Linked DNA regions of Schizosaccharomyces pombe. The protein of the gene in region 2 binds, or shares a complex with, the protein of the main gene of each other region. Each region holds a gene or a part of one and is shown on either strand. Other genes may lie near its edges.

Region 1 (7,797 bases), 1.4 Mb from region 2:
CATTTTCTACTACTTATTCAGAGATAAATAACATTCATGATGTACCAGGCAATCAAGATGAATGGTCATCTTCTCCCATTGCGGGCATTATTGTAGAAAGTGAAGATGAGGAAGTGGTTGAAAACAATTTACATTCACAAATGGGGACGTCATGTAATAAAATAAACTCGAATAGTAATAAGGGAAAAGAAAATATGCATTTTGTTCTAGATGATAATGGTGATTCAAAGGGGAATGCTTCAAATCAACAAGTCGAGCGTGACGACAAGTTAGATATGGAGACAACGCGCTGGAACGGAAAAGAGTTTGAAGAACCTCTGTCAACAAACAAAAAATTGATTATCCAGTCAAACAACACCTCATCTCAACATTCGACACCCCCATTATCCATTTCTGATACCAGTACACACACCGGTAGCAGCACAGACAATGTAGAAGCAAATCCCAATACAGGTTTTTCTAGTGCCAGAAAACGTTCATTAAGGTCCTCGAATTTGAAAAAAAAGTTTGTGCCATTGTCATCTCCAGAAGAATCTAATGAATCCGAATTTATTGATGATGATGAAAGTGATGAAGTTGCTAGCATAATTGATATCAAAGAGGATGAAACTTTTGATAGTAAAGTAGAAATTCCAGAAGCTGCTCCAAGTTCTTCTACGGAAAGTGATGAAGAGTCAATCCCTTTAAGTTACCAGTCCAAACGAAGGAGGGTATCCGCTAGGGCTTCTTCTTCCGCGTCCTCTTCCTCTAGAACACAAGCAAAATCAATTCCATCACATGAAAGAACCCATTATCGTCTGATTCGACAACATCCTGAACTAGAACATGTTTGGGAGAAATTGGAAGAAGAAGCACCTCGTGAAGTGAAACAGATCGAGCAACCCAAAGAGTTGGTCCTAAACCTTCTCCCTTTTCAACGAGAAGGTGTATATTGGTTAAAACGACAAGAAGATTCCTCTTTTGGTGGAGGAATCTTGGCCGATGAAATGGGTATGGGTAAGACTATTCAAACAATTGCGTTGTTGCTTTCAGAACCTCGAGGTAAGCCAACCTTGGTTGTTGCTCCGGTTGTAGCAATTATGCAATGGAAAGAAGAGATTGATACACATACCAATAAAGCACTGAGTACATATCTTTATTATGGCCAGGCTCGTGATATTTCAGGAGAAGAGCTTTCGAGCTATGATGTTGTACTAACGAGTTACAATGTAATTGAATCAGTTTACAGGAAGGAACGCAGCGGATTCAGAAGGAAAAACGGTGTTGTAAAAGAAAAGTCATTACTTCATCAAATGGAGTTTTACCGAATTATACTTGATGAGGCCCATGGTATCAAATCAAGGACTTGTAACACTGCCAGAGCTGTTTGTGGCTTAAGAACGACAAGAAAGATATGTCTTTCAGGAACACCTTTGCAAAACCGTATTGGAGAATTATTTTCACTTCTTCGGTTCCTACGGGCAGATCCTTTTGCTTACTACTATTGCTTGCAATGTGAATGTAAATCTCTGCACTGGAGATTTTCCGATAGAAGTAATTGCGACGAATGCGGCCATAAACCAATGAGTCATACTTGCTATTTTAACGCTGAAATGCTAAAACCAATACAAAAGTTTGGATACGAAGGTCCAGGAAAGCTAGCTTTTAAAAAGGTGCATTCTTTATTAAAACACATTATGTTACGTCGAACAAAATTAGAGAGGGCTGATGACCTTGGATTACCTCCTCGAGTCGTTGAAGTGAGGAAAGATTTATTCAACGAAGAAGAGGAAGATGTATACCAATCTTTATATATGGATTCAAAAAGAAAATTTAATACATATCTTGCTGAAGGTGTCGTTTTGAATAATTATGCAAACATTTTCCAGCTAATTACACGAATGCGCCAAATGGCAGATCATCCTGACCTGGTGTTAGCTAGCAAACGAAAAACAGTTGATATTGAAAATCAGGAAAATATCGTCTGTAAGATTTGTGACGAAGTCGCTCAAGATGCTATAGAATCACGTTGCCATCACACATTTTGTCGACTCTGCGTTACGGAATATATCAATGCAGCTGGTGATGGAGAAAATGTCAACTGTCCAAGTTGTTTCATTCCCTTAAGCATAGATCTTAGTGCCCCTGCTTTAGAAGATTTTTCTGAAGAGAAGTTTAAGAATGCATCGATTTTGAATAGAATTGATATGAATAGTTGGCGTTCATCTACAAAAATTGAAGCATTAGTTGAGGAGCTTTACTTACTTCGTAAGAAGGACCGAACACTGAAGTCGATTGTTTTCTCTCAATTTACTTCTATGTTAGATCTCATTCATTGGCGACTTCGAAAAGCCGGGTTTAATTGTGTAAAGCTAGATGGTGGTATGACCCCCAAAGCGAGAGCAGCTACTATTGAGGCTTTCAGTAACGATATTAATATTACCATTTTTCTAGTTTCGTTGAAAGCAGGTGGTGTTGCTTTGAACCTTACAGAGGCATCTCAAGTGTTTATGATGGATCCTTGGTGGAATGGAGCTGTACAGTGGCAGGCAATGGATCGAATTCATCGTATTGGACAAAAAAGGCCGATAAAAGTAATTACCCTGTGTATTGAAAATTCCATTGAAAGCAAAATTATTGAACTACAAGAAAAGAAAGCTCAGATGATACATGCAACCATAGATCAAGACGAAAAGGCTTTGAACCAGCTTTCTGTCGAGGATATGCAATTCTTGTTCTCAAATTAGAATTTTGTTTTTTTAAAATTAGCCCAAATTTTGGCCGTTTCCTTTTTATATACCTGCCATATCTCCCTTTGCATTTTTTTTGTTATCCTAGTTTTTTGGACCGTAATTCCCTAAGTCAGTATATGCGTTTTGGAAGTTTATTTATTTTTTTGGGGATTCCTATTAATGGATATAATTTATTATTGAGTTGTCAATAGAACGGTTAAAGTTTTTTAAAACAAATTAAACATAGTTAAGATTTTATCGCTTCAATGTAAAGTCATTAACTTACCTTTGACTGATAAATTTGTAATAATAGTAACTCAATAGATAATCATTATATCTTCAATTTTAATATAATATTTTCGATTTTGGAATGTCTTTATACTTTTTGGACTTAGTAAATTCTTTATATCAATCAGTGCCTTAAACTCACTCAGCAACCCATAACTTCTGTTAAACTAGTGAACTTGCACACTGAAGGATTAAAAGTAAAAAGCCCAATAATTTCTCAAACAATTTCCTATTTATGGCATGACTAATAGTTCACCACGGGTGAAAAGAAGAACGGATACGCAATATTTGCATTCCGTCTCTTCTAAATTGCCCAAGGTTGACTTTGACACAAATAACGAAGAATTTTTTGAGGAAGAATTTGAGATTTATGATCCTTTTTATCGCGCAGAGCTACCTTGCCCGAAACCGTCATTATCAATATCGAAGCATTCAATTGCAAAAGTTCCATCAAATGTAAATAAACGATTAGAATTGCAACTTTTACTAACGTCTGGGACATTCTTACCTAATTCACGTCCTTATTTGAGTGAAAGAGTGAGAAAACACACTCATTTACTTTCAAATAGCATTACAGGCGATGATAAACCATCACTCATTCATGTTGATTTTACACCAGAGGAATGCTTTATTTTACAAGAAGCTAAACTAAAATTTGGACCGGTAAACAGTGTTCAGTTCAATGATGCTTATTCGACCCACATTTCTCCAAAACTTCCTGGACGAGCATATGAAGATTGCCAGAAATTTGAAATTGATAACCCCAGCTTGTCTCCTGTGGACAAACATGGGGCCATCATTTTACGAACATACAAGAAGAATAAAAAATTACTTCCAGATTACTTAAAATCCTTTTACAATGCAGGCTCATCTTACTTCCAAAGAGAACAAGTTCATCAACTTATGGACGGGGAATCAGTTTTCTTTTTAAAACCTTGGAAACATTTCAATGAAACTAGTGGGGATACAGTGTGCGTTGCATATAATCCATTGTGCGAAAAATTTGCCTTAGGCAGCACAGCACAAGATGGTGCTTACAATAGACTAGGCAACTTATGGATTGGTGATTTTCACTCAGAAACTATTCAGTCATTGGAAAGCCATTATAAACTTAATCAAGTAGGAGAAAAGGAATACTCTACGATATCAGATTTGTGTTTTTCCAAGGGTAATCTGTTTCTTTATACAGGTGCATTCGACAATGCTGTGAAAGTCTGGGATATGGAAGGAAATTTATGTGGGATTTTTAATGCACCCACAGACTATATTCACAAGCTTGCTCTATCTGATGACGATTTACTTGCAGTAGCTTGCAAAAATGGTTATGGGTATTTATTGAGCACTGACAACTCAACAGGAGAAATTCTCACATCAGCTAATTTAATTTATCCAGAAGCTCTAGAAAAAGGGTACTCTGCATCTTTGATTGAATTTTCCAATTTTTTGGGAAGGTCATCTGACAAAGTCATTATTGGATATGATAGTTTTCATACTTCTAATAACAGAGGATGTTTGGCTCTGTTTGATGCTTCCACTGCCAGCTTCGTTCAAAAATTCAACACCGCTGACGAAGCATTTACCTCCTTATATATGCATCCTTCTCAAGTTGGATTTGTCGCAAGTAGCAATACTTTGAGCAATGGAAGAGTATATTATTTAGACACAAGAATGTATAAGGTTTGTCTCAACTTTACGACAACGCAAAAAGACATTAACCATGCCACCATAAGTAACTCTGGAATCTTGGTAACTTCTAGTGGTACAGATAACCAGACGTTTGTTTGGGATTCGCGTAAACCAGATAAACCTCTTAGCTTGCTTAAGCATGGAAAAACCAAAATGATACATTTTGACGGGGCTAATGAAGAGGAAGTCGATGCAGGTATAAATATGGCACAATGGCAGCCTAAGGGGAATTTGTTCGTTACCGGAGGCAGTGATGGCATTGTAAAGGTTTGGGATTTGAGATTGAACAATCCATTCATACAAAATTTTACGGAAATGAATTCAGCCATAACTTACGGAGGGTTCAGTGAGGATGCTTCAAAGCTAACCGTATGTTGTGTTGGAGGGGACGTCAATATGTACAGTTTGGGGAATGACAATGGTAATAAATTCGGAGAGTTTCGTATTATAGAAAATCGACTTTTAACCTGAATTGAGGTTTAAATACGAAAAGGTATATGTAAAGATGATCAGTCAATGGAGATTCGCGCTAAGAAAAATTTTCTTTATTAGACGACTAGGATACAGAGAAGGTATAAAAGAAATAATGCTCAGCTAGTATGAATATTTAATCGAATTCCTTTTCGTGGGTGAACTGGCAAGAAAATTAAAGACAGCGATCGATCCGAGAAATATTTAAGAACTGAAGAAGGCCAAAAATTTTGCAATGATTCTAAAGGATAATGGAAAATTAAACCTTAATCTCAGTGAAGGTAAAGTCAAGCTGATTATTGAATTGACGTTTACAGCAAGAAAATTTTAATAATATCTAATATGTTTCTTTAATGATCAACTGACTGGTTTGATAACTCAAAAGCAAAACATAGTAACAAACAAATGAGCTTTCACGGTTAAAGGATGAAAAATGTGTTACAAATTAAATTAAAATATCAAACATAGATAAATTTAAGTTTAGCTTAGACCCGAAACTCTTAATGTTAACAGAAATGGAGATTTTTTATGGAATGTTGAATTAACTCTTCAAGCAAACGTAATTAGTTAACTTGAAAACATGCCGTTAACAAAAACCATAATTTAATCATCAACTCACCTTTTCAATTTAAAAAAATGATGAACAACTACCGGAAGCTTTTTTGTTTACAGCTTTGGTGTTTACATATTCATGTACCACTACACTTGGCTGCACCCAGCTTGCTATTCGCGTTACTACTAAACAATATTAATTTGTAAACAATAAATTATGCCTAATACTGAAAGTGAATTGAACGAGGAATTTTCTAATGAATTTAATATTCCTCCACCAACTGAATCCTCTTCAAAGGAGGGAAATAGATTTTTAAACGACTTTCGAGTTGAATTCGAGAAAAGAAGAATAGAAGCGAGAAATAGAATATTAGAGAGTGAGGGAAGGGCCCTTGAGAACAAAACTCACCTGAATGAAGAGGAGATTCGTACAAATGAGCGCGTAAAAAGGTTTCAACGTCGAGTGGATGAGTGGACCGCGTTGGAAATTGAGAGAGAAAGCCAAGTTCAACCGCCACTTTGGTACCAAAGAGACCGCGAGGAGCAGAATAGGACTCTCAACTTTTTAATGAGCGGTATGGCAGATTTACAAAGAACCATAAATACTATGCAAGGGACCATGAACACTATGCAAGGGACCATGAACACCATGCAAGAAAATATGATTAATTTCACAAATAAGGTCAATACTCTCGATATGCGTTCAGTTCGTGCGGAAAATAGAGATCTTAGGAAGGGTGCATACGTGATTTCGCCTGTTCCCTTTATTAATGGTAATAATCCGGACCCTGATTTGCCTCCAATTACTTCAGTTCAAGATGTAGATCGGTTGTCTAGGAGTCAATGTTCTCGATATTTACAGGGCTATGGGGTAACTTTTCATGTAAACGAAACTATTGGGATGAAGAAGAAACTTGCTAGCGCGGTCGGCCTATCGGCAGAGTATGACAGAGAGTATCCTTTTTCTGGATTTCCTAATTAGCGATTCTGGCAGAAAAGTACTCGACGAAAATTAATCGCTTATATTTTTTTACTATTTATTCACGTGTATTATTATATTGGAAATGTATATAATTATTGGGAGTGAAACGTTCAAGAGTTCAACCCAGCTACTTATAACTCTTGTTTACCTGATGTTGAATAATCTTGAATCTTTGTGATTGTTGAATTAAAAAGCATACCGAAAGCAAAGCATTCAAATTAGGTGATTTGTGAGGTAAAATTTTTAAGATAAGATGCCATGGGCTTGCATATTTAATTTTTAAAAAATGATGTTTGCATAAAGACGATAACATACTGTCTTCGAAAATCCGTTTTATGAGAAATCTGAAGTTAATATAAGTTAACCGCTCTTGATGGCGATAGTTATCATTATTGTTTATGAAATCTCAAGAGAGAAACTATTATTTTAATGTTGCATTGCATATATAAATATATATTTTTTAATTTCTTTACAAATTAGTACATCGTCATCATACATAATAATACTACCAAATTATTTATTGGTATTAATTCATTGGAAAATAACATTAATCATTGTTGCCTAAAGGAGAGCATAAGACGATCCGTCAGGACTGTGAATTTGAGTAATGAAGTATGTTACGAAAAAAAATAATTCAAAACATCATCCTAAGCTTATGGTGTATAAAAAGTTTTCAAAGAAAGATTTTCGATAAAAAAAAAGATTTGTAGAGAAGTATCCTAAAGCTCATCGTAGTAAGGGAGCACGTCAAGGTTACCCACAGCAACTGTACTAGCAGGTTTGGCTAATAAAGATGAAACCACCTTAGAGATGGATGCGGGGGTAACCTTGTCGAAACCACTAATAAAGGCATCAGATCCTTTTGAAGCAGAAACTAAAGATGAAGCAGATATGGCGTTCAAAGTAACAGGTTCAAAAGCAGACAAGTACTTAGTCTTAGCCATTGCAATGCCACTTTTAACAACATCATTGGGGATATTAGAAGATAATGATTTAAGGGCCTTGAAAGATTCAGAGGCAGTAGCTTTAATAGCTTTTGGACAACTGCCAGAAATAACGACCGATAGCAAACTGGCATCCGAATAAGGAGTGAGATCAGCAACAGCT
Region 2 (9,122 bases):
AGAAAATGTTACGTCGTACAGTCAATTAGCATGATCGGAAAATGTATTACTGTTGTATTTTTGAAGATTACTTTCAATCCGAATCTAGTTGGACAAGACTTATGAGAAATTTAAGTCAACTCAAAGTACAATCTATTCATATTTTATTTTTAAGATCAGGAGAATCTGATTGCTAAAGATACAATTTAATTAGCTCTTCGCTTACCCCACTCTTCGAATCAATGATCCCTAAATCGGTAATGAGACCTGAGACAAATTCGGGTGGTGTAACATCCAAAGTAGGATTATTTCGAATTTGTTCTTCATTCATGATCAGCTCGTTATGAATAGCATCTGATGGAGTTGGAATTGGTTCAGGTTCAGGATGAACAGTTTCAGGAGATGGATCATCAAATTCCAGAATAGGACGACTAAAGGGAATATCATATTGAGAAAGGGGAAACATACGCACGAATTTATGACTAAAAAACGTTAGTACAAATTTTAAAATTAACAGGGAAATGGAGAGATCATAGGGAAAAATAATTGTAAGCTGAATGGATTCAACGTTTACGTACCTTTCTGCAACTGCGTAAAAGGGCTTATGTGCATGTTTGGCAAAAACGGCAAGTTGGAAAGTACCGATTTGATTAATGAGTCCTCCGTTTTCGACAACACCTTCTGCGCCAACCAAGACCAAATCTACACGGTTCATAGTAAAGCTTACAGCGGAATCCAAAACCATGCAAGTAGGAATACAAGCATTTTTTAATGTTCTCGTCATTAGACAGCCTGAGCCGCTAGGTCTTGATTCTGTGACAAAAACTTTGAAACGAACGTGACGCTTGGCAGCAGCCAAAAGAACAGCCGCAACACCGCGTGAAAACCCATGGGTAAGAATAACACTACCATCTCGAATAAGAGGGTAACCTAAATGTGCAATTCTTTGTCGACAAGCACGAGCACGCTGAATAAAGAGTTTTCCATTTTCTACCAAGTGACGTTTGCATTGCTCAAAATCCTAAAGCCGTGGAGAATTAGTAAAGAAAAGAAAACTACTTTGCATCAACACATACCCCGACATCGTGTAGTGATCGAGTGACAAACCGTTGGAAAATGTCACAACCAGCTGAAAGCGAAATGTTGTTTTGAACGCCTTCCTTCAGCGTATTTGAGCCATTTTGTAAAATGTCCATAAATTCTGAAATTGTCTTGGCTAATAGAAAAACATCAGTAAATTCATTTCTCACATGAGTACTACAAATTAACATACCTTGAGAGCGCGACAAAAGCTGGACTAAAGCCTCAATGGCGGCTACAGGCATCGTGATTTCTGGATCATCTTGCAAAAATTTTTTGTAAACCTGGACGATGTCAAATTCTCCTTGAGAATGTCGAACGATTCCCGAAGAATCCGATTCCACCATATTCGCAGATGCTAGACGCTCTTGCTTAGTAGCAACATCTTTTCCATACTTTAAGGATATCCAACAAAATCAAATAACGGGCAATGCCTTTTTGTATTAAATTGTAAGCTACGCAATTTGGTATCTGATTTAAGGATACGTAGAACTGCGGTGAGTTTTCCTTGTGATCTATTATATTACAATACACAGGTTGTATAAGTAGCAACTGAGTATAGGTATTGTATTAACTGAGTTATAATGTTACCTATCACTAATATAGCTCATAACTGAACTGAGGAACGAGGTTCAGCAGTAGCTCTATTTATATTATTCAGATAATATAGATCTTAATAGATTATCATTAAGATCAATCTCAATATCGTATCATACATGGTACGATATATAATTAGAACATGTGACATATAGTGATACGCAACGTAGATGATGCGATGTCGAGATTGATATTGATAATACTATATTAACAGATAGATTATTTGGATAGAATCGATAGAGATACAACTAAACCTCATTTCGCAGTTCAGTTATAAGTGATAGGTGACATTATAACCTAAATAGTACAATACCAGTACTTAGTCATTACTTATATAACCCGGCTATTATAATATAATGGATCATATGCAAAATTCACCAGTTTTTCGTATCGTTAAAGCAGATACCAAACTGCGTAGCTGACATTATACGGCGTTTTGGATACTGATCTACAGATATGTTCCTATAGATATTTATGTAGGTGATTTGAATGGTATTTACATATAAATTGGTTTATTAAATAGCTTATATTTAATTAAAGCTAAATATTGAGAATAATTTTAATATCATATTCTTGACTGAGTACATCTGAGGATAATCATGAAATTCTTCCTCGGTGATCAGTAAACAATGCTTGACTGTTGATTTCCAATATGTAACGTTCAACGATACTTATCATTGTATAGATAGTGAATTTGTAGTATAATTTACTATGTTCCTAATAGTTGAGCGTATCATGAACGAAATATGTCAAAACGCTTCCATTTTAAAAAAAAAGGAGTACTGATGAAAGCAGTAATTGGATTTGGTAAAAAGTAATATAGAAAGTTTTTTAAAAAACTATTTTATGTTTAAGAGACCTTTCAAAAGTTCATGACCATTTCTACGAGAAACTAATCTTTAGTCCAACCTTCGTAAATCTCGCTTATATTAAGCTTGATTTTACTTCGGTATTTATGGATGACGCGAACACTAAACTGGTATAGAAAAAACGCTATTACTTTCAGCATCTAAAGAAAATCATTTATGATAATTTCTATGCTTTCAATTATATCTAAATATTTACATGCTCAATCATTCAAAGCGATGCTACAAAAATATTATGTTTTAGTTGTCGACTCGAATTTCAGTAAAATCCTAACTTTATTGCTAGACATCCGTAGGTTTTCATTTATGCTATAAATCTGTGAATCACCTCGTGATCGGCAAGTTGTTAAAATAATCTTTTAAGTAACTCTAATACCATGCACTATAGTAAAGAAGGTATATATTTCTTTGCGTGCCTAGTTCTTGTTTTCAATAGCAATAGTCGTTATCTCCCATAGCTTTTAATTCTGCTCATCGATGAGAGTAACATATTCCAATATCTTCTCTACATTATCAAATCGTTTTGCAATTATAAAAATATCAATAGCTTTCGATTTCCCCCAATATGGCTAATGCTAAAATTTATAACATTGATGTAGAATTTGGCTTAGTTAAGATGCAAGTTGAAAATGTCTTATGTTTTATGATTATCAGAAAATGTTTTGTGTAGTATCTGATATTAAAAAATGCATATCAACTTTTACAATAAATTCGCTTGCGCAAAATGTATAGAGACTGCATATCTCGTTTCTTCTCCCTGCGGAGTGCCTGTAACTGGCGTCTTGCACTTTCATTCAAAATCGAAATTTTTTGGTAAGGATTTGATAGAGATTGTCACTTGGTAGCATATTTTTTCTATCTTGAATTCCTTTTTCTAGGCTTTTGTGGCTCTTGGCCGTCCACTCTTTATTTTTGTATTCAACTGTTTTTTAATCACATAAGTCTAGTCATAATCTTTTGAACCAACTCAAAGCTTCTTTTTTTTATTTTTTTCTTTGTTAAAAAAAGTCTTTATTCCTTTTATTATATCAGTTTATGGATTTCATCGTGTATGGCTTTATGTGTTCATTCCTTCTGGGCAACGGCGGTAGACACAGCGACTTCATGTCATTTTATATCATCTGAAAACTGCTTAGTTTTATTACAAGCCTTAAAAATTAATATTTATCTCTGTAGTGAGGTTCATGGCTTACAATTCTTTACCTCTATCCCTTTATTTTCTACGGTGAAACATATACGCCCATATCGCCCTCCAGGATTAGATAGAGACTATTTATTTGTAGTTCTCAATGATGATACTTATTTTTCGATTTATTGGGACGAGGATTATCAAAAAGTGATCGTCGACCATCCTCCAGTTCGCTATCGAGTTACATTTCCTTGGAATCGCAACGCGAAAAGCTACTGCCTTGTCGACTTAAGGATGCGTGCTATTTTTTTAAGCATTGACGAAATTTCCATGATATGTATTAGAATCCTTTCTGCCGAAGAACGGTTGAAAACTGGCCGTTCTATAGATAGCGGATTTCCTTTTTCTTTTCCAGTGCATCTCATATATGATATGTGCATTCTCAATGATTCCAGTACCCCAACTCTTGTGGTCCTTCACAGCGATGGCTTAGATTGTTATGTAACAGCTTTTCTTTTAGATTTAAGCTCAAAAAGTTTGGGAAAGGGGATTAGACTATTTGAGCGGGTTAAACCGTCAATGATCATGCCCTTTGGAAAAAGAGGTTTGCTGGTTTTTGAGAGTTTGTTTATTCATTGCATGTATCGCGGTAATTTTGTTACAATCAATGGTCCTTGTACTACTTATATGCATTGGACTCCTTTGAAAGGGCAAAAGATGCATTATATTGTTTGTGATACTAATGGATATCTTTTCGGAGTATATTCGAGTATCTTGGGAAAAAACAAATGGAGCTTGGTTATGGAAAGACTACCAATCCCACCTTTCGACTTTATTACTTCTCTAAATTCCATCCATGAGGGACTCTTGTTTATCGGAAGCAAAAATTCGGAATCTAAACTTATTAACCTGTCTACTTTGAAGGATGTTGACTCAATACCCAACTTAGGACCCATTCATGATTTACTAGTACTCAAAAACGACATTGAAAAAAGTTTCCTTGTATGCGCAGGAACACCAAGAAACGCTTCTTTAATTTATTTTCAACATGCTCTGAAATTAGATATTTTAGGGCAGACGAAAATCTCGGGCATCCTTCGAGCTATGGTCCTACCATCATATCCAGAGCATAAGCTCTTCCTCGGGTTTCCTAGTGAAACTGTTGCTTTTAATATCAAAGAAGATTTCCAGTTAGAGCTAGACCCATCTCTATCAACCAAAGAAAGGACGATTGCGCTTTCAGGGACGAATGGTGAGTTTGTACAAGTCACATCTACTTTTCTTTGTATCTACGATTCTGCAAAGCGCTCTCGTTTAGTTTATATTGAAAAAATCACGAACGCTGCTTGCTATCAAGAATACTCCGCAATCGTTATCAATGGAACAGCATTGGCAATATTTAAAAAAGATACAGAAGTTGCACGAAAAGTTTTTGAAAGTGAAATTTCTTGCCTTGATTTTTCAGCGCAATTTCAAATAGGAGTTGGATTTTGGTCTAAGCAGGTGATGATACTTACATTCTCAGATAATTCGTCAATTAGCTGCGCCTTTCAAACCAACGTTCCATCATTGCCCAGAAATATTATTTTAGAAGGAGTTGGTGTTGACAGAAATCTTCTTTTAGTTTCTAGCGGAAGTGGTGAATTTAAATCTTATGTACTTTTCAAAAATAATCTGGTATTCTCTGAAACAAAACATTTCGGTACAACCCCTGTATCGTTTAGGAGATTTACGATGAATATTGGTACCTATATCATATGCAACAATGACTGTCCACACATGGTATATGGGTTTAATGGAGCACTATGTTATATGCCGCTTAGTATGCCTCAAAGTTATGATGTGTGTCAGTTTCGTGATAACTCAGGGAAGGATTTTCTCATTTCTGTATCATTAGGGGGCTTGAAATTCCTTCAACTTAATCCATTGCCAGAATTGACCCCAAGAAAAGTACTTTTGGAGCATGTTCCGTTACAAGCCATTATTTTTCAAAATAAACTGTTGCTTAGAACACTCGAGAATAGATATGAAGATTACGAAAGTTACAAGGAAAATTATCACTTGGAGTTGGTCGATAGTTATGATGATAATTCGTTCAGGGTTTTTTCTTTTACCGAAAATGAACGTTGTGAGAAAGTTTTGAAGATTAATGAGAGTTCTTTACTTGTAGGAACAAGCATTATAGAACAAGATAAGTTGGTGCCGGTAAATGGAAGATTAATTTTGTTAGAGTTTGAAAAGGAGCTTCAGTCTTTGAAGGTAGTTTCGTCTATGGTACTATCTGCGGCCGTGATAGATCTGGGGGTATATAATGATCGATACATCGTTGCATTTGGGCAACAAGTTGCAATCGTTAAACTTACCGAGGAAAGGCTTATGATAGATTCTAGGATATCACTAGGTTCTATAGTTTTACAACTCATCGTAGAGGGTAACGAGATTGCTATAGCGGACAGTATTGGACGTTTTACGATTATGTACTTCGATGGCCAAAAGTTTATTGTCGTTGCCAGATACCTTTTTGGAGAAAACATTGTGAAAGCAGCATTATATGAAGGAACAGTTTATATAATAGCAACTAATAGTGGCTTGCTAAAACTTCTTCGTTATAACAAAGATGCAAAAAACTTTAATGACAGATTCATTTGTGAAAGTGTGTACCATCTGCATGATAAAGTTAGCAAATTTCAAAATTTCCCAATAACAAATACCAATTCGTTTTTAGAGCCAAAAATGCTTTTTGCAACGGAAATTGGTGCTATTGGGAGTATAGTATCATTAAAAGATAAGGAGCTAGAACTGGAGGAACTTACAAGAAAAATTCGAAAATTAAAATTTTCATACTTGTCATCTATGGACTACGAAAGTATAGAAGCAGACCTCATTTCTCCAGTCCCGTTTATTGATGGAGACTTGGTTATCGATGTCAAAAGATGGGCATCTTCAGAACTTTTCCGATTATGCAGAAGTGTAGAACATAGGGAATCACTCAATTCTTACCAAAAAGTTCAAGCCCTCCTTGAGGAAATACAAAGTTTATGTTAAACGTATTATTGCCTTTTTGCTCTGAGTTATTATCTTACACTTTATGGATCATTGCAAATTTGGAAGTTTGGTTCTAGGACTGTATTATGCATTTGTGAGTAATACAAAAAAAATCTTTTGATTTATAATTATAAGTCACAAGCTGTCGCAACATGGCACTGATAAATACAAGTACATAAAGCTTGGTTAAAAAGTTATCAGTCTCAATTTCTTTCGTAAAATCTTCTTCGAAATTCAAGATATTTGTCATAATTGTTGCATCGCTCATCTATCTAAGACGAGATGACATATATTCTGGATTTCAATAATTAAAATGAAACTATTAAATTTCATATGACAGAAACTGAGCACTTCAACTGGCATAAAAGCTCAAAGGAATTTTTTAAGCTAAAAAATTAAAAAAAAACTTTCTCCATTTGGCGATCACGTGTTGCCAAGTATTTTTGGAGTGTAATTAAACTGGAGAAACTCTAGTGTAATTTCTCTATAGGAAGCTAGGGTCAGAGGAAATTAGGATCTTAAAAATTGTTAGTAGAATAAAACATGAACTAAATGCTTACCTTTGGCAAGCCACTTTTTGATTTGATCTTCAGTTTATGGTCTTTACAGGGGATGGTTTTCTGAGTAAGAATATCTGTAAAACTTGAAGGCACTTCTTTCCAGTGTTCTTTCAAATCTATTTCAACTTTAAACGACGAGGTAGAGCCTTCATTGCTTATGGCTATAATGACTCCTGGACGAGTAAATACATAAACTGAATCGTCAATGTATAGTTGAAAAGATAGCACGTATGTAAACTCTGGGTAGGTCTCAACCAAATTTTGACGCGTGCGTATCATTGAAGAAAGATGTCTAAACATTGGATTGGAAGTATTGTATTTACTTTTCCAAAGACCTTCTCTGTTGTCAGGATCGCTACCACCGTCAAACATCTGTTCTTGTCCATAATAGATAATTGGAATACCGTCCATGAAAATAAGTGCAGTTAATGCGTTAAGAGCCAGCTAAATAAATGTTAAAATATATAAAAAATGCAGGTACTAAATTGAAATATTGTTCAATAGACTTACGGCGATGTCTTTGGTTTCATGAAAAAAGCGAGGAAAATCATGATTTTCCAAAAAGTTACACAAGACGGTAACATCTTTGAAGTAATGTCGAACATCAAGTACGGCCTTATCATAAAATGAAAACATAGAATGTTTGGGGTCAAGAAAGGTTTCCCGCAATTGAAAAAATAAAGGGAAATTTAAAGTCGAAGGGAGATATTTTTGATAATCCCCGACGACTTTAGGATCTCCATGAAAAACTTCTCCTGTAGTAAATACATTAGCTGCTTCAATAAATGTTGGGAAGAAGGATTTTTCGACATGTTTGGCTGTGTCCAATCTGATACCATCAAATTGATAACGTTTAATTAGATCAGAAACCCAATTTTGAAAAAATTTGCGAACTTCATTCTTTTCGGTTCGAATGTCTGGTAGGTTCACATGTGAATCTCCTAACCAACCTGTAATTGTCTCATGGGGATCATCGTAATTTTGTACAAACTGCCAGTTGTGATAATACTTCCCAGAGTTAAATGGTTGATAAAGTAAGAAGTTTACGGGTTTGCTTCCGGCATGACCCATATGGTTGACAACTATGTCAACCATGCAAAGCATATTTTTCTCATGAATTGCATTGACTAGTTCTTTCAAATCTTCTTCTGTCCCAAAATTCTCGTTTAACTGAGTCATATCTTGTGCCCAATACCCATGATATGCCTGACCACAATCCGTAGTCTCAGATATGTTTTTAACTATTGGGCTAATCCATATTGCCGTACATCCCAGACTTTTAATGTAATCAAGGTTACGAGTAATACCCTTCCATGTACCCCCAAGGTAAAGATTTCCGCTAGCTTTTGCATAAAAATTATCCTCATCCAAAGCAAATCTGTCCGTTAATACCTGGTATATAACTTGCTTTCGCCATAATTTAAGGTAGGAAGGTTCTTTTTTCGGCAGAATGGAGCAGATTAGATTCATAGTCCCTTTTCGTCAAGTAAACAACATTCACTGGTAACTGTCTCGTTTACAATGCAGCTTTAAATCAAGCCTTCAGCTACGCCTTCGTCTGGATCGCTTCTTCAGCCTTGCTTACTGATCAACAAAGAGTCTTCTTCTCGAAATCTTCCCTTTCAGTACAAATTTAAAAAAGTATCCGAGATTCGTACAGAATTTGTTTTACTTTTCAAAAAGGGACGTTTGCTAAAACCGACACTCTCACTTAAAGGTTATAGTCTTTTGGCTGCTTTTATTAAGAGCCAAAAATATAGTAAGAATATTGAAATACAGAGGGTCTTAAATACTCCGCCTTTCGGTTCCGACGATTGCGGCTTTTTTTTTTTAATTTCAACGCTTTTCGGCTTTTGTTTACATTCA
Region 3 (6,919 bases), 970 kb from region 2:
TTTTTTTTAAGAAGATGAACCATTAATTTAAATACAAGACGAATTCATAAATTTTTTTATCTTTTTTTTTTTTATGTGTGAAAATTGCTACTCCGGCGGGTTCAGTCGGCTTTTCTAAATGCCTTAAAATAAAAATAAAAGTGCACTTATAATTGTTATGATTATTTAATAATACAATATCCCGCCAAAAAAAATAAGAAAAAAATAAAAATAAAATAAATTTAATAATAAGCTAATATTCACATTGATGTTGCTATAAAGGATTTACCAAAATTTCCACGGATAATAAGTTTGTTTTCGCCGTCAAATGACTATATTGAGATTTGAACTTAACTCACGTATTTGACCTATATACGATACCCTTCTTTAAAATTTTGTTTGTATAAAGTTTTTACAAATGTTCATTACAACGACTCTTGCTAAGAAAGTAATAGCTTTTGTAATGTCAAGTGTAAATATCACACACATAAAACTTAACTTCCACTAAATTCATTTAATTATGACACTAACTTGAAAGTATTCATTTGTGATATGGAAATGGGGCCTTTTATTAATTTATTTTTGCTTTTCATCAATAAATGTGATCAATTAACGACTCATGTTAATTTTCAAACTACATCCGAACGCCATCCAAATATAGTTTCTAAAATTTAAACCTATATTTTCAAGCTTTAAAAATCATTACAAAGCAGCTTTCATAAGTCTTTGGCTCTCCTAAATATCCCATTCTTTAACTCACTGCAAGAGGTAATAATTTCTTAGACTACACTAAACCAATTTGCGCTTAATAGCGAGCCTTAAAATAAAAAATCAGTGTAGAGGTTGAAGAATATTCAGGAATCTCAATAAAAATAAAAAAAATAAGGATCATAGAATTATTTAAATTATCCCAAATTCATCAAATTGTAATGCTGTCCTTTTAGGAAATTCTGGTTTGCCCTGGATGACGACTGCATGCCAACAGGCCATAAGGAGCAACAAAGGAAGAGACAAACTTGCGCTTCTCCATACAAGAGGTTGAATTGAGGAAACTGGAAGTTGGCCTTATCAAGTTATTTCTAAGAGATATTTGAAGTTTAAGGATTAAATATTTATAGACACCAAAAAAACCCCGAATTAATACGAGCTGAAAAGATGACTTCACGTTCGCCGTTTTCGACAATCCCGCTTTCTATGAACCAGGATTCATATCAAACAAGGACTACTGTGGGTATCAGAAAAAAGACATTTTCAGAGCGAGCATGTCAGTTTATGGAGCAAGCTGAAACGTTCATGGCACCATTTACTCCGTATATGCCGCTCTTGGGTCGATTCCTAATTGTCGCTACTTATTTCGAAGACGCTATTCGGATCGTTACTCAATGGCCTGAACAAGTATCTTATATGCGGGACTACCGCAGATTTCGTTTTGGGACTGCTCCGTTGCTGCTGTTTGTTTGTGTTGTACTGATGTTGGTTGGTTCGACATTGGTCGTGTTTAAAAAGCGTCAGGCATATGCCATCGGCTCTCTTTTGTTTGTTACACTTTTACAAGCGTTTGCATATGGGCTCATCACCAGTGGTGAAATGTTCTTTCGTAACATGAGCGTGATCGGTGGATTATGCCTTGTTGCCAGTGACACCTTTATTCATCGTCGTATCAATAGATTTGCAGGTTTACCGGCCGTCTCCGAACACAATAAACGTACTTATTTCCAACTAGCTGGGCGTGTTCTTTTGATCTTTATGTTTTTGGGTCTTTTGGCTAAGGAAGGAAGTGGGATTTCTTGGACTCGAATTCTAGTTCATATTTTGTCTGTTACAGCCTGTGCCATGGTGGTCATTGGTTTTAAGGCTAAATTCTTCGCTGCAGTCCTCGTTCTTATTCTATCTGTTGCCAATTTCATTATCAACAGCTTCTGGTCGGTTCCTCGTGAAAGTCCCTATCGTGACTTTTATCGTTACGACTTTTTCCAAACCTTGTCTATTGTTGGTGGTCTCCTATATCTCGTCAACACTGGACCGGGCAAGTTTTCCGTTGATGAAAAGAAAAAGATTTATTAAGCCAAAATACTGCGTGTTTCTTAAAAAAAAATGAAAATGTTGTTTTATTTTTTAATTTTTTTATGATTTGATTTAATTTGTCAACCTTGTCCTTTTATATCATAAAATCCTTATTTTACAGGTACTTTTCTTTCACAGGATCTTGCCTATTTGTACATTCCTTTGTTTACTTTGGCTCCATTCTTGTATTAGAGTTGAAATTACACTTTCTTCTATCTATGAGTGGGATCGAATTTAGGATATTATCCTATCACATTAATTTTTTTATGTCAAAGAAGTGAGCCTCATCATACTCATGTTTGCTCCTACTGATTCATGATTAGATGATTCTATTTACGTTTACAAAACCAAAAAGATGGGTAATCGTCGCGTATGGTCCGTATTTTCTGGAACAATTTTTTAATAGTATTGCTCTTTTCTAAAATAAATACTCGTTTTTTGCTCGTTTTCCTTACGCATGAACATTTAGTAGTTCTTGGCGTTTACATTCCTCTGTTTTTATTTTATCGCTTGGTCTCAGTTATTATCAAAAATGGGTTCTGGTATTTTGAACGGCCATTAACTTTACAATTGTAAAGGGTTGGTGTTTGATTTTGTTTGATCGTCCTATATTACATTTGACAAATAATTCAGCTATTTGTACACTTTAATAGGCACATTTATAAGCGTATCAAATTGTTGTTACAAAATGTGTTTTTGAAATTGTTTATGAACACATGATATTTGTAAAGTAAAGTGTATTTGACATTAGCCATGTAAAATTGTAATCCTTTATAAACATACTATATATTAACTTTAATGCAGTGTGTCTTTTGTTAATTACTAGTAAAAATCATCATATCTATCATTAATTTATGTTGTACATTATGTGTTCAAGTTTATTTGTAAACGATCGGACACTGTTCGAAGGAGTTTTAAATATAAACTTGGAATCTACATGTCCTAAAAGATGATCGTAAATGACCTGAGAAGGTTTATACGGGTTGTCACAAACAGCAAAATACAAACAATTTTGTACTGGACATGACCAAATACCAGTCTGTAAATCCGGACTAACTTTTAAAGCCTCAACTTTCTCCAAGTTATATGAATATAATCCAGTGTCTTGTTTAAAATCTGTTTCCTTTTTGGATAAGCAGGAAGATGCGGAAGCTAAATCGAGCAGTTTTGTAGGTCTATACGGTAAAGTCGACCTCGTTGACCTATTACAAGGGAATAAATTTGTTCGATCCAGCCATACCTGATCGCATAAATTTGGAGTTGATGAATATACTTTGGGATATTTGTTGCGAAGTAATTTCAATAATTCATCATAGAAGCTGAATGCAGGCCAATAACCAAAAGAAATAGAAAAAAGTTTAACAAAGTCAGGAAGAACTGTAACAAAATTTTTTTCAAAAATTTCCTCCGTAAAACTGAAAGCGACAGCTGAGTGATTAATGTATTGTTCATATGTATAATCTGAGCCAGAAAGGCCTGATCCAATATCAAATAACAAGAAATGAAATAATATCTTGGCCGCCAATTGAGCATTTGAGAAATCTAGTTTCATGCATATTAGAGTCCTCAAGAGATGTAGACTTGTTTTTTCTCCATTGTTACAATGCATGAATAAATAATCATAACAATATCCACGGAATTGAGATCGTGCTTGTTGAACAGAAGATCTAAAACCAATTGCGTGCTTAATATCATTAAAAAGCTTAGTACCTCTCCACGTGAAAGCAGTATGCATAATTTGCAAAAGGGTTTCGCCGTGGGAAGAAAGTTTATTCAAAGCTTCCAAATTTGTTATTTGTAGCTGTTGAGCAATAACGCTGCAAACTTCTTGAAGGCTAATATAACGTTGATGCTTCGGAGAGGTTGAAACTTGTATTCTTTTCCATAATGATATCGATTCAATATTTGGATCAACAATCCTTAAACCGGAAAGCCAAATATCATTCAAAGGAAACCGTAATGGAGAAGTTCTTTTTACAACTCCTAGTTGTGGTGTTGCTGTGGGAGAGGAAATGCTAAACGGTTGCTCGGGTAAATTAATTAAAGTAAGAGCTTGGTTTAAAGAGCTTTTCATAGTAGTATTATTGTCCGATGGATTGTTTGACGATAACTTTGATTTCTTTCGCTCTTGACGAGCATTGTAAATGTTTTTATTAATTTGTAAAATCAGATGTTCGTATGAAGATCGAATTCTTATAAAAAAAGGTGATTCAGACCATACATGTAATGAAGAAGTCGCAACCATTTGGGTTAACAGAAAGCGAATATGTTTTTGCACTAAGAGAATTGCTTGAAAACAAGAAGGAAGCTCTAGCTTTTCCTTTAAAACTTCGATATAATTATCGTAATCTTCTAACGTACCAGATATCATATCATCTTTGAATTTTGTCTTAATAAGGTAAAACAATCGATTCTTCTCGCTGATCTGTTCGTAAATGGCTTTATACTCAGAAGAAGGAGACAAAATTCCGTATCTTCTTTGAGGTGTAACGATCCATATGCTCATAGTTTCTTTCTCAGGAACGTCTTTTAGATTGTATGTCCAAACAGGCGATATTTTTATCGAGTATCCCAGAACAATGCTCTCATCAAACAATGGTTCTTGCTCATCCTTTTCAGAAGATAAAATTCCTGTTAATGAATAAGGGCCATATTCTAGAACGTCCTCTAAATCTACTAATTCCCCTGCTTTATTTGTAACGCAAACTTGTTCAATCAAATCAGTTTTCCGCTTTTTTTCAGCACGTACGGGCGGCATCGCTAGCTTTTTCCTTTTCCCCAAAAACAATACTCTTCGAAGTAATATTGCCTATTACTATAGACGGCATATTTTTGAGGTAAACATTGGTGTTAAATTTCTGATCTCTGCTTCTGAAATTTAAGAGAAGGGTATCCATTGTACTGCACAAATATATAATTAACGTCTAGTGCGTTATACTTACGATACGTTAACAATCACTATACCTATAATTGTGTTTTACCAACATTTCTTTCGGCCGTGAACATACGTTGCTTCTAAAGTACTTATTCTTTAATTAGAAAAATATTGATGAAGTTTGATTTGTACTCCTCAGCTGATTGTAAACTATTTTAGTGCACATATAATACTATACGATATCTCTTAATATTTTGATATATTTATTATTGTATAGAAAACAGAATTTTATTTAACATTATTTTTTATATTAGGAAAACCCACCGCAGTTCTAAAGTATCATTAAGTGTTTTAATGATTGCATAGCTGACACAATGCGTAATTTAATGACAGATACGGTGTATTATTATGTGGATCTTTAGAGTAGAATAATTGTAAGCTACGCAGTTTGGTATCTGATTTAAGGATACGTAGAACTGCGGTGAGTTTTCCTTGTGATCTATTATATTACAATACGCAGGTTGTATAAGTAGCAACTGAGTATAGGTATTGTATTAACTGGGTTATAATGTTACCTATCACTAATATAGCTCATAACTGAACCTCGTTCCTCAGTTCAGTTGTAACGCTATTTATAATATTTCTAAATAGTTGTTATCAACGGGTATCTACGTATATAGACGGATAGTTACCCGTGATTATCAATAAACGGATCTTAGCTAGTATTCCAACATATGACATATAGTGATACGCAACGTAGTGTATCATAGCGTAGTGTAGTATTGCTGACAATAATGAATTTAAGTAGTTTCACTATACGCCTCATTATACTGTAAGCTAGAGCAAAGTAAGAAACTTGCCAAGAACCAAAGCGGGTCTCTGCGAAAGGTAAACTAATAAAAATCGGACAAATTGGAGGAATTGAAGGGGAATTAAGGAAAAATATTAATTTAATAGAGATAAACTTATGAATTTATGCAGAACGCACCAAAGTGTTACCTGCCGAATTCACGTAAAGGCAGAGACGTGAATTTTCATGATCGAGGTCCTGAAACGTTAAAATGCTTGTACGATGAATCAGAAGATAACAATAATTTTACTATGCATTCTGAATCCATAGGTCCTAAGTCATTAGACAGTTTATCGCCTAGAAGGCTAAGTAACTATTCATCTGCTGTAGACCCTCGAACTACGAGCTTGGAAGATGTCCCTCGCTTAATTTTAACAAGAAGTAATTCACAAGAACAAACCCCTTTGAGAACACACACCCCTGTTGAATATATGAGTGATTCAATTCACAAGAGTCTAGCTGACTTGCAATTAGGTGGTTCCTCTTATTCAGTTGCTGAATCACCAGTACCGGTGCTGCAGTCTTCAGCCGTTTCTGAAGCTGATGATATGGCAAGTGCTCATTCTGCTCATCCGTCTCGAAAGGCAAGCAGGTCATTACGTCTCTTTGAGTCTTCTACCTCCAATAACTTAGAAACCGGTAACAGTACTAATACTGCTTTGCACAACGTGTCGAGTCCTCTTGAATCTGTTTCTGAAAGGCTCTCCAAATCTGGATCACCAAGTGTTGGTGCTCAGCATGATTTAGATGAAGTTATTTCCGAAAAAGATACATCACTAAGTCGAAGATCATCTCGTGGTCGGAGCTCAGCTCCTAAACGAAGAAAAGATAGTGGTAGTTCTAAAACCACAGCCACCTACATACCACATAATCCTTCTAAAAAGTCATCTCAACACCTCCCTTTACTACCTGATGCTTCGTTTGAGCTTGAAAGGTCGGTATCCCGTTCTTATCAAAGTCCTGCATCCACCCCGCGATCATCTGTATCATCTGTCTCATCATCTCCTCCTGAAGACCATCCTTTTTTCCATTGGAATGTTGATTATCCGGTTACTGTACGATTGGAACCCTTCAAACATCAAGTCGGTGGACATACGGCTTTCTTCCGGTTTTCTAAAAGAGCCGTTTGCAAACCACTTACAAGAAATGAA
Region 4 (7,676 bases), on a different chromosome or scaffold from region 2:
CAAGGCGAAGATTGCGAGAAGCCGATAAAGCTAAGGGAGATTTTGGAATGCCAGCCTTTGGCATTCCTCGGAGAATAGACCGAGAAAAAAGCATACTAACAAGCAACTACTAGAAAACTTCGAGAGAAACAAAAAAAGATGCTAACTTATTATGTGATAAAAATACACAAAGAAGAGGGGAGAGAGAGGGGGGTAATAAGTTATCCACAAACACAATCAAGGAAAGTTAAAAAAATTGTGGATATCAACTGTTTGCTTGAAAAGCCTTAAGAGGGGAGATTTTTAAAAGATGAAGAAATGGGTCTTTATTTTAACAACAAAGAAAATATATCAGGGGTAAAATAATATTCGGTCAGTTGAAGAAATGGATAGGATCAACAGAGGCCGCAAAGACTGAATAATTAAGTTGAGTTGGGAGGGGGTGGTTAAAGTGACTCCGAAGAGAAGCAAACTACAAAGAAAAAGAAAAAAAAATATAATAAACCAAGTACAACACTTACGGCGTACTCAGCTATGTAAGTGTGCTCCTTTTATACACTCGACGATTGCGCAGATAAGCGTCGATTTAATAAAACGTATTTTCCAAAGGCTGATATGATATCCTTGTAGGTAATCAATCAGTACAGCCAAATGGTAAAAAATGAGCGGTAGGTGTAATGGTAGTTGTCAAAGTCGGACAGGGTATTTTAACGACAATTTAATACACGAGCGAGACTATTTTGATAAATTGTACGGGCGGATCCGTTTGCGGACTTTTAATGATGACTCCCGTAACGCTGACGACATGTATCTGCACAGCGATTCATGGCCCGCCTCTGTGAAAGAGGGAGCGACCATTCAGCGATTCCAGCCGCGTCCGCTACAACATACCGGACATTGTTGTTTCTTGACTTCGATTAGCAATGTAAATAAATAGAGACGCTCAAAAACACCTACAAAACCGATAGTTTCAAAAACTCATATACAGTTGCTTCACCTCAAAAAAGGTTCTACCTTTAGTCATGGTCACAGGGGATTGTGGGGTGCAACTTTTTCACAAACTCTATGCATGCGCAGCGGCGTAACCGAAAATTCCCTCATTGCATCTAGAGGAGCCATGTCATTATAAAGAGACGTATAACGTGATCTAACACCAAGCTCGCAAAATCTGACAGCAAAAAATACCAACCGCGTTATCTAATAATACAGTAATACACTTTAGACAACGTTAATGAAGACAGGACGCGCGCGCATCGCTTTTGATTTGTGTTTAGTCTGTTAGAAGCATGCTGGGGTAGATGTGTAGGTGAGAAGCTAGGTTATATAATCAAAGAAGATCAAGCAAACTAGAATCAATGGTAAATTCCTTCTCGTTTTAACTATGTCACTCCATTCTTATGAGGGAATTCGTGACGGACAAAACAGAAGATACCGTTTATTTGCTTTCACCTAGAACTGATCAAGAAGCTTAGAGAATCAATAACGCTAAATGTCCCAATTTCCTACGCCAAATACTTCAACTTATTCAATTTATTGCTTACATAGGAGTGTTTTGATGTTGGTTCTGAATACATCCAAACAAACACGTGTTTCAGCTACATCTACATCAAGTAACACACACATCACTGTCACTTAGAGATGTAAATAATGAATAATATAAGAGGTGTTTATGGGCAGGAAAACCAAAATAGAATACCTTGGGCTTTACAAAATTAATTAGATTTATTAAATTTTTACTTTAGATTTTGTAAATAAAGGTGTTCTATAAGTGTGATAAGCAGCACCACATTCCATCCATGTTAATCCTTACATTGGAAAATGCGGTACTTAGCGCGAACACTTTCGTAGAAGGCAAAAATGCAAGGTACAATTTTAGAATGAACTTTGGAATTGTTCCTTTTCCAAACTGATTGGAGAGCAGTGCAGACTTCCTTGAATTGGTTTCCAGATTTCAATAGCATTACTTGACACGGACAGGTAAAGAGGTGTGTGTATGAACGACATATGAGAATAGAGAAAAAAAATCCACTGGAGATTCACCAGCAAATAACAAAAAGGATGGAAAAAGAATAAACATATAACCAGAAAAATTAAATTAAATCAATTAAAAAACAAATGCATACTCTATTAGGTGACATATGTATAAATATCATTATCCTCGCGTTCTAGATACTCTTTCTCTAGTAGTTTTTCAATGGCAGTTTTCACATCAGACACCAAGGGTATTCCCCGATCCTTAACATTGTTTATAACGTATTGAACTAAATCGTCATGCTTCATTTTTTCCTTTTGTTTCATTACTCGAACGATACTGGCTTGCAACTCAAACTGTCGATCTCTCACTACTTGTTCTTGAACATCAGAATTTTCTTGCCGCTCTTCCTTTAAATAAATTTGGTTAATTTTTACACGATATAACTTATCTGTAAACTTTTCATTAACATAAAACATGGTGTCTGGACTGGGTTTTTTGCTTTTGGGAACCATCACTAATGGCCGAATGCGAGCACAACTCAAGGACTGTAATGTACGAGTCAAATCGATATCAGAGAGCTCTGTAGATTTTTTCAAATCTTGATACGAAATCCCTTCTCCACCCAAACAATTGTTGAATTGAAGTAAGACACAGGCTTGGAAAAGCGATATACTTAGTTCCTTATTGCCCAGTGGAAATCGGGCTTTTACGATGCAATGTCCTAGCGAAGCGTACCAACTGATTTTTTTCCCAACCTGCTTTGAAAGGTAAAATTTTTCAAAACAATCCAAATCCTGTTGCATATCATCTGGAAGCCGGATATGTGATTCTGGATAAGAGGGCCAGTAAGCTTGGGACAAGACGTTAACATACAAATCTCTATGAAGGTTATGAGCAGCCTTTGAGTGACGAAAAGAAGAAGTAAATTCTTTTGAAATGTTAACGTCTCGAAACATACCCTCCAAAGAGTGAGTAAACTGACTACCGCAGGTTTTCTTAAGCATATCCAGAAGCATTAATTCATTTTGCGCACTTGCAGATTTATTAAGGAGAAGCCGTTTTGCAATGTCCAGCTTGTAATACGCCTCAAAGATATCTTTACTAGCGATGTAGCGGAAAAGATCCAAAATTTCCGAAAATACTTCTTTCAGAGGCTTACCCCCTGAAGCCTGTTCGCCAACTCGTAGCAAATAATCAATGTATTTTGCAATAAGCCTAGCTGGAGCTTCTCTTTGAGATCCCTTTGCCCCATTAATGAACGTCTCGAAGGCTTTTCGCATGGCATACGAAAGGGTTTCATCATGAAGGAAACTTTCATCCACCACGACTTGTAAGAATTTGTGGAACGATAACAGCTCTTGAACCAAAGTATCATCCTTTGATTCATCGTTAACGAGCTTGAAACCAACGTCCACTAAGCAATCCGACCAGGGCTGAATTAAATATTCGGTTTCATGATTGAATTGCAGTAATGCATACAGTAGTTTACAAGAATGGGCATCCCTTTTTTCAATGAACTGACTTATACCCTTTGTGAGTGTGTCAAGATGTGAAGTAATTAGACACCTTTGAACAGTCTCTCGAATGGACTTTTTATCGCGCACAATATCAAACTTTTCAACGTAGGCATCCTCCCGCTCAAGCGAACTCATCGCATATTCCAAGTACTCTTCCAAAGGCAGCTCTTGAATTTTTTGGCTAGACTCCGTATCATAAAAACGGCTTAGCATAACTAAGTACATGGGAACAAACACAGAGCTATACATTTCCGTGCGATGTAGCATTAACATCGCATCCTGTAAATAGGCGTGATCAGTGCTTTTAGAGCTATGTAAATTTTCAAAGCTTTGGAGAAGAGAGTTCAAAAAGGGAATTTGTATGTTTTTGACTGCCATCAACTTTTCACGAAAAAGTGACAGAGACAGCTCTTCGATTGTCGGGTAATCTGGATGGTGAGAAAGAAATGTTTTGTCCATGTAATAGAATATGTTTTGAACAATCTCGACTCTTTCCAACCATTTGTTCCAACACCCTACTACTACGGTGCATGCATTAGTGTCTGTTTCAGTCCCTTCAAGCTGTATAAAAGACTCCGCAGAATCCTTTAAAAGCTGGATTCCTGAAGACATATGATGTTGTAGGATGTTAAAGCACCGAGATGCTTGATCCGCTCTTGTTAAATTTTCGACTCCCGAATATAACTCTTGGTAACCTGTTTTTAAGCCTAAACCGGCCATCACTACTTGCAAAGCCATGTTCAAACGATCTATCATCGTCACATAGTAGGTCTCTTGTCTTTGCCTCGACTTTCGTGGGTCAAAGCCTTTAACCACGATACGTTTTGCTTCTGGAGGCATAGGTGTGCTAATGTGAAATAAAAAGTAATAAATAGATGTGTGGAAAGCCTGAGCTCTTTCACTACTATAGTTTCACCTGCAAAAACCAATTTTGTGCTCAAGTAGTGACGTTCAGAAAAGTCGGTTTAGAGCAGCACATATAGACAAGGTACGAAGTTCCTATTTCACTTTCAAGCTATTTTTTTGTGTCCATCTCACTAAATAAGCCTTTTTTTTCACTTTAGAAATTCTTCAGTTTTTTAGAGATTTTCAAGCTGCGACTCATTGCAATTAGCTAACTATTGTTTTCCATGTTTATCCTCCACTATCCACAACGAACGCCAGTTGTTGAAACAATTGGGTGCTTGAGTAAACTATTAGCTTCTCTATAGTTTCTATAAAGTTTTTTATTTGTCTTTTTGTTTATATAGGTTTGAAATTACAAGGTCAGGTTGACTTGGAAAGAGAATGGCATGGAGTCAAGTCGAGATTTCCAAACCACATCTAGCATATGCTATTATAGGAGGATTTACTTCATTATTTATGTTATGTTCTTTAATTATTAAGGAAAAGCTTTTTTTGGGCGAAGCAAGTAAGTTATTAGTGGTTGCAAAGCACAATTGTTTGATTTGCGTGTTGAAACGATACTTGAATTGTTTGATTTAGCTGGTAGTAATTCCAGATTATTCTTTCGGTTTACGTTCGTTAAATAAAGAGCGATCTCTAGATATTTCAGTGTGCATATTCCACCATATTATTTTTACTCTTCAATTCTTCATATATGTGAAGCATACTAACTTAATATAGCTATGGCAACTGCTACGGGTCTCATTTTTGGTCCTTACGTTGCAAAACTGTTTGTTCCCACCAGCTGGGGTAATACCGACTACATCACCGAGGAACTTGCTCGAGTCCTTTTAGTTGTCGAAGTTTTTGCAGCTGGCGCTGAACTTCCAAGAGCATATATGCTTCGACATTGGCGCAGTATGTTTGTTATGCTTTTGCCTGTTATGATTTTTGGATGGCTAGTAAGTACTGGCTTCATGTATGCTTTAATTCCCAGACTCTCTTTTCTGGAGTCATTAGCTATAGCGGCATGTATTACTGCGACAGATCCAGTGTTGGCTTCTTCTATTGTCGGTAAAGGTAAATTTGCACGTCGAGTCCCAGGTCATCTTAGGAACATGCTTTTGGCCGAATCTGGATGTAATGATGGCATGGCAATTCCTTTTCTGTATTTAGCTATTTATTTAATTATTGAGAAACCTGCCCGACATGCTGGCCGCGATTGGGTATGTATCATTATTTTATACGAATGCACCTTTGGCTGTGTGCTAGGTGCAATAATAGGTGTAATAGCCCGTAAGATGATTAAATTTTCGGAACGTCGAGGATTAATGGATCGTGAAAGTTTTCTTGTATTCTACTTCGTTTTAGCACTATTTTGTGGTGGTATTGGTACCATCATTGGTGTCGATGATTTGTTAGTTTCTTTTTGTGCTGGTGCTGCTTTCTCTTGGGACTCATGGTTTTCGAAAAAAACAGAAGAATCTCATGTTTCCAACGTTATCGACCTTCTTCTCAATCTTTCCTTTTTTGTATACGTGGGTGCTATCATGCCCTGGCCTCAATTTCACATGCCACATATGGATTTGAGTGTATGGCGACTCGTTGTATTGGCTATATGTATTTTAATTGCAAGGAGAATTCCTGCCGTTTTATTATTTAAATCATTTGTTCCTGATATTATCAATTGGCGAGAAGCTCTCTTTGCTGGTCATTTTGGTCCTATTGGTGTAGGTGCACTGTATACTTGTTTGGTTGCACGAGCCGAATTAGAAGTACATAGCACTGTACCTGAGCCTAATGATGCTATCGAAAACCCTGAAATTCCAAACTGGTATTGCATACAAGTAATGTGGCCAGTAGTTTGTTTCCTGGTTCTAAGTTCTATCATTGTTCATGGAAGCAGTATTGCATTTTTCATGCTTGGTAAAAGGATTAATACGTTGGCTTTGTCGTTTACGAGAACAAGGGACTCTCATTTTGCTTTTAACTTACCTCGTGTTCGTCAAGGACAAAGCTTACCAATTAAAAGAGTTGATGCGTTGCGCTCCTCTGCCAACTCTATTGCTTCTTCCATAAGAAGGCGTCATCCTGTAAACATTCAAGAAGATGAGGATGCTGATATATCAACTGTCTCGCTTCCTGAAGCCGCACATCTACGGGAAGAACGTGCTGAATCACCACGCGGAGGCCACTATGACGCTGAAGAATTTCCTTCTGAAGACTATGAATCTCGGCAACCTCGCCGCTCGAATGAGGAAGATAGAGAAGAAGAAATGAATCCTGGTGACGAGACATATCTTATTGGCGAAGACTTGGTCGTTGAAGATTCTCAAGGAAACATTATTTCGCATACCAGTTCTCGAGATGCAAATGGACCTTCAATTGATGAAAAACTCGCTCAAGGGGATCCGAAGGCAAAAAGTTTTGGTCGCAAGTTTCGCAGTTTCTTACGACGTTCCTATGATACTTTTCAACGTAATTTACATGAGCCGGACGACGAAAGACAAAGGGAACCCACTCTTGGACATATTGAGAGTTCTATTGAGAATCATAGGCCTAGATACTCAAGGCAAAATTCGGAATCTCATTTGCGTGAAAATAGTGTAGAACGCCGTCGTCGTGAACAAGTTCTTACTAATATTGGGGACAGTGAAAGTGAGGATGATAACATACCCAGGCCTGGTATAGTTCCATTTTACAACGAGAACAATGAAAGCAGTAGTGATACGAGAAATGGACTCTTATCTGACAATGTTTCCGAATCGCGCAGTCGTCGACCATCGCGTGCTCCTTCTGCCGCAGTTAGCAGTGAGGGTTCTCCGGTTGAAGAAGATAATGAAGCTCAGCATAGGCCAAATATTCGATTTTTGGAACTTACCCGTGCCTGGGAATAATAACCGTAGGAGGTCACATTCTTCATATCGAAGGGGATCGTTTAATGCTTATTCATAACTGATTTTCAAAAGTGTGTTATTTTTTATTTATTAAAAAAATATGTTTGCTAATGCAGTGGTTTCTTTTATTTATTTGATGATTGAAGGGTCTATGGGTGCTGTTAAAATCAAATTTCATCAGTCTTTTATCGAGTTTTTCTATGTCTCGCATTTGCCAATTAATGAACACATATCGGATAACTAACTCTCCTTTTTCTTTTTTATATTATTGGACACATGCGTAAAAATTATACTGTGGAAAATAATCTCAAAGCAAACAAAAATTTATTACATTAACTAAGAGAGCTAGTTAACTAATAGTAAAATAATCGATCCATCAAGGGGCATAAAAGAGTAAGCAATAGGCATGGTTTGTCGTTAATC

Evidence for each region.
Region 1: rik1 (region 2) and raf1 share a complex: the UniProt entries of both Schizosaccharomyces pombe proteins name them as parts of the clr4 methyltransferase complex.
Region 3: rik1 (region 2) and raf2 share a complex: the UniProt entries of both Schizosaccharomyces pombe proteins name them as parts of the clr4 methyltransferase complex.
Region 4: rik1 (region 2) and cul4 share a complex: the UniProt entries of both Schizosaccharomyces pombe proteins name them as parts of the clr4 methyltransferase complex.

Annotation. Positions count from the first base shown.
Region 1 is NC_003421.2:97,614-105,410, reverse strand, and holds raf1 (CLRC ubiquitin ligase complex WD repeat subunit Raf1/Dos1), read left to right. Parts: upstream 1-3,146; 5' UTR 3,147-3,239; coding exon 3,240-5,156; 3' UTR 5,157-5,695; downstream 5,696-7,797. Other genes in the region: rhp16 (ATP-dependent helicase), read left to right, coding at 1-2,726; protein meu23, read left to right, coding at 5,926-6,690; ubiquinol-cytochrome-c reductase complex core protein Qcr2, read right to left, coding at 7,410-7,797. UniProt on the Schizosaccharomyces pombe protein: Component of the Clr4 methyltransferase complex (ClrC) which contributes to the establishment of heterochromatin by specifically methylating histone H3 to form H3K9me.
Region 2 is NC_003421.2:1,464,601-1,473,722, forward strand, and holds rik1 (CLRC ubiquitin ligase complex WD repeat protein Rik1), read left to right. Parts: upstream 1-3,281; 5' UTR 3,282-3,573; coding exon 3,574-6,696; 3' UTR 6,697-7,180; coding exon of another isoform or gene 7,181-7,213; 3' UTR 7,214-7,256; downstream 7,257-9,122. Other genes in the region: translation initiation factor eIF2B alpha subunit Gcn3, read right to left, coding at 173-461, 558-1,000, 1,056-1,195, 1,253-1,406; SPOM_SPCC11E10.09C (alpha-amylase-like protein), read right to left, coding at 7,181-7,213, 7,257-7,700, 7,767-8,726. UniProt on the Schizosaccharomyces pombe protein: Component of the Clr4 methyltransferase complex (ClrC) which contributes to the establishment of heterochromatin by specifically methylating histone H3 to form H3K9me.
Region 3 is NC_003421.2:498,741-505,659, reverse strand, and holds raf2 (CLRC ubiquitin ligase complex subunit Raf2), read right to left. Parts: upstream 4,896-6,919; 5' UTR 4,802-4,895; coding exon 2,891-4,801; 3' UTR 2,780-2,890; downstream 1-2,779. Other genes in the region: erv29 (cargo receptor protein), read left to right, coding at 1,135-2,043; kcs1 (inositol polyphosphate kinase), read left to right, coding at 5,894-6,919. UniProt on the Schizosaccharomyces pombe protein: Component of the Clr4 methyltransferase complex (ClrC) which contributes to the establishment of heterochromatin by specifically methylating histone H3 to form H3K9me.
Region 4 is NC_003424.3:3,449,691-3,457,366, reverse strand, and holds cul4 (CLRC complex subunit, cullin 4), read right to left. Parts: upstream 4,423-7,676; 5' UTR 4,312-4,422; coding exon 2,107-4,311; 3' UTR 1,620-2,106; downstream 1-1,619. Other genes in the region: nde1 (NADH dehydrogenase), read right to left, coding at 1-94. UniProt on the Schizosaccharomyces pombe protein: Required, indirectly, for activation of ribonucleotide reductase through the degradation of the protein spd1, thereby supplying deoxyribonucleotides for DNA replication and repair. Also has a role as a scaffold for assembling ubiquitin ligases.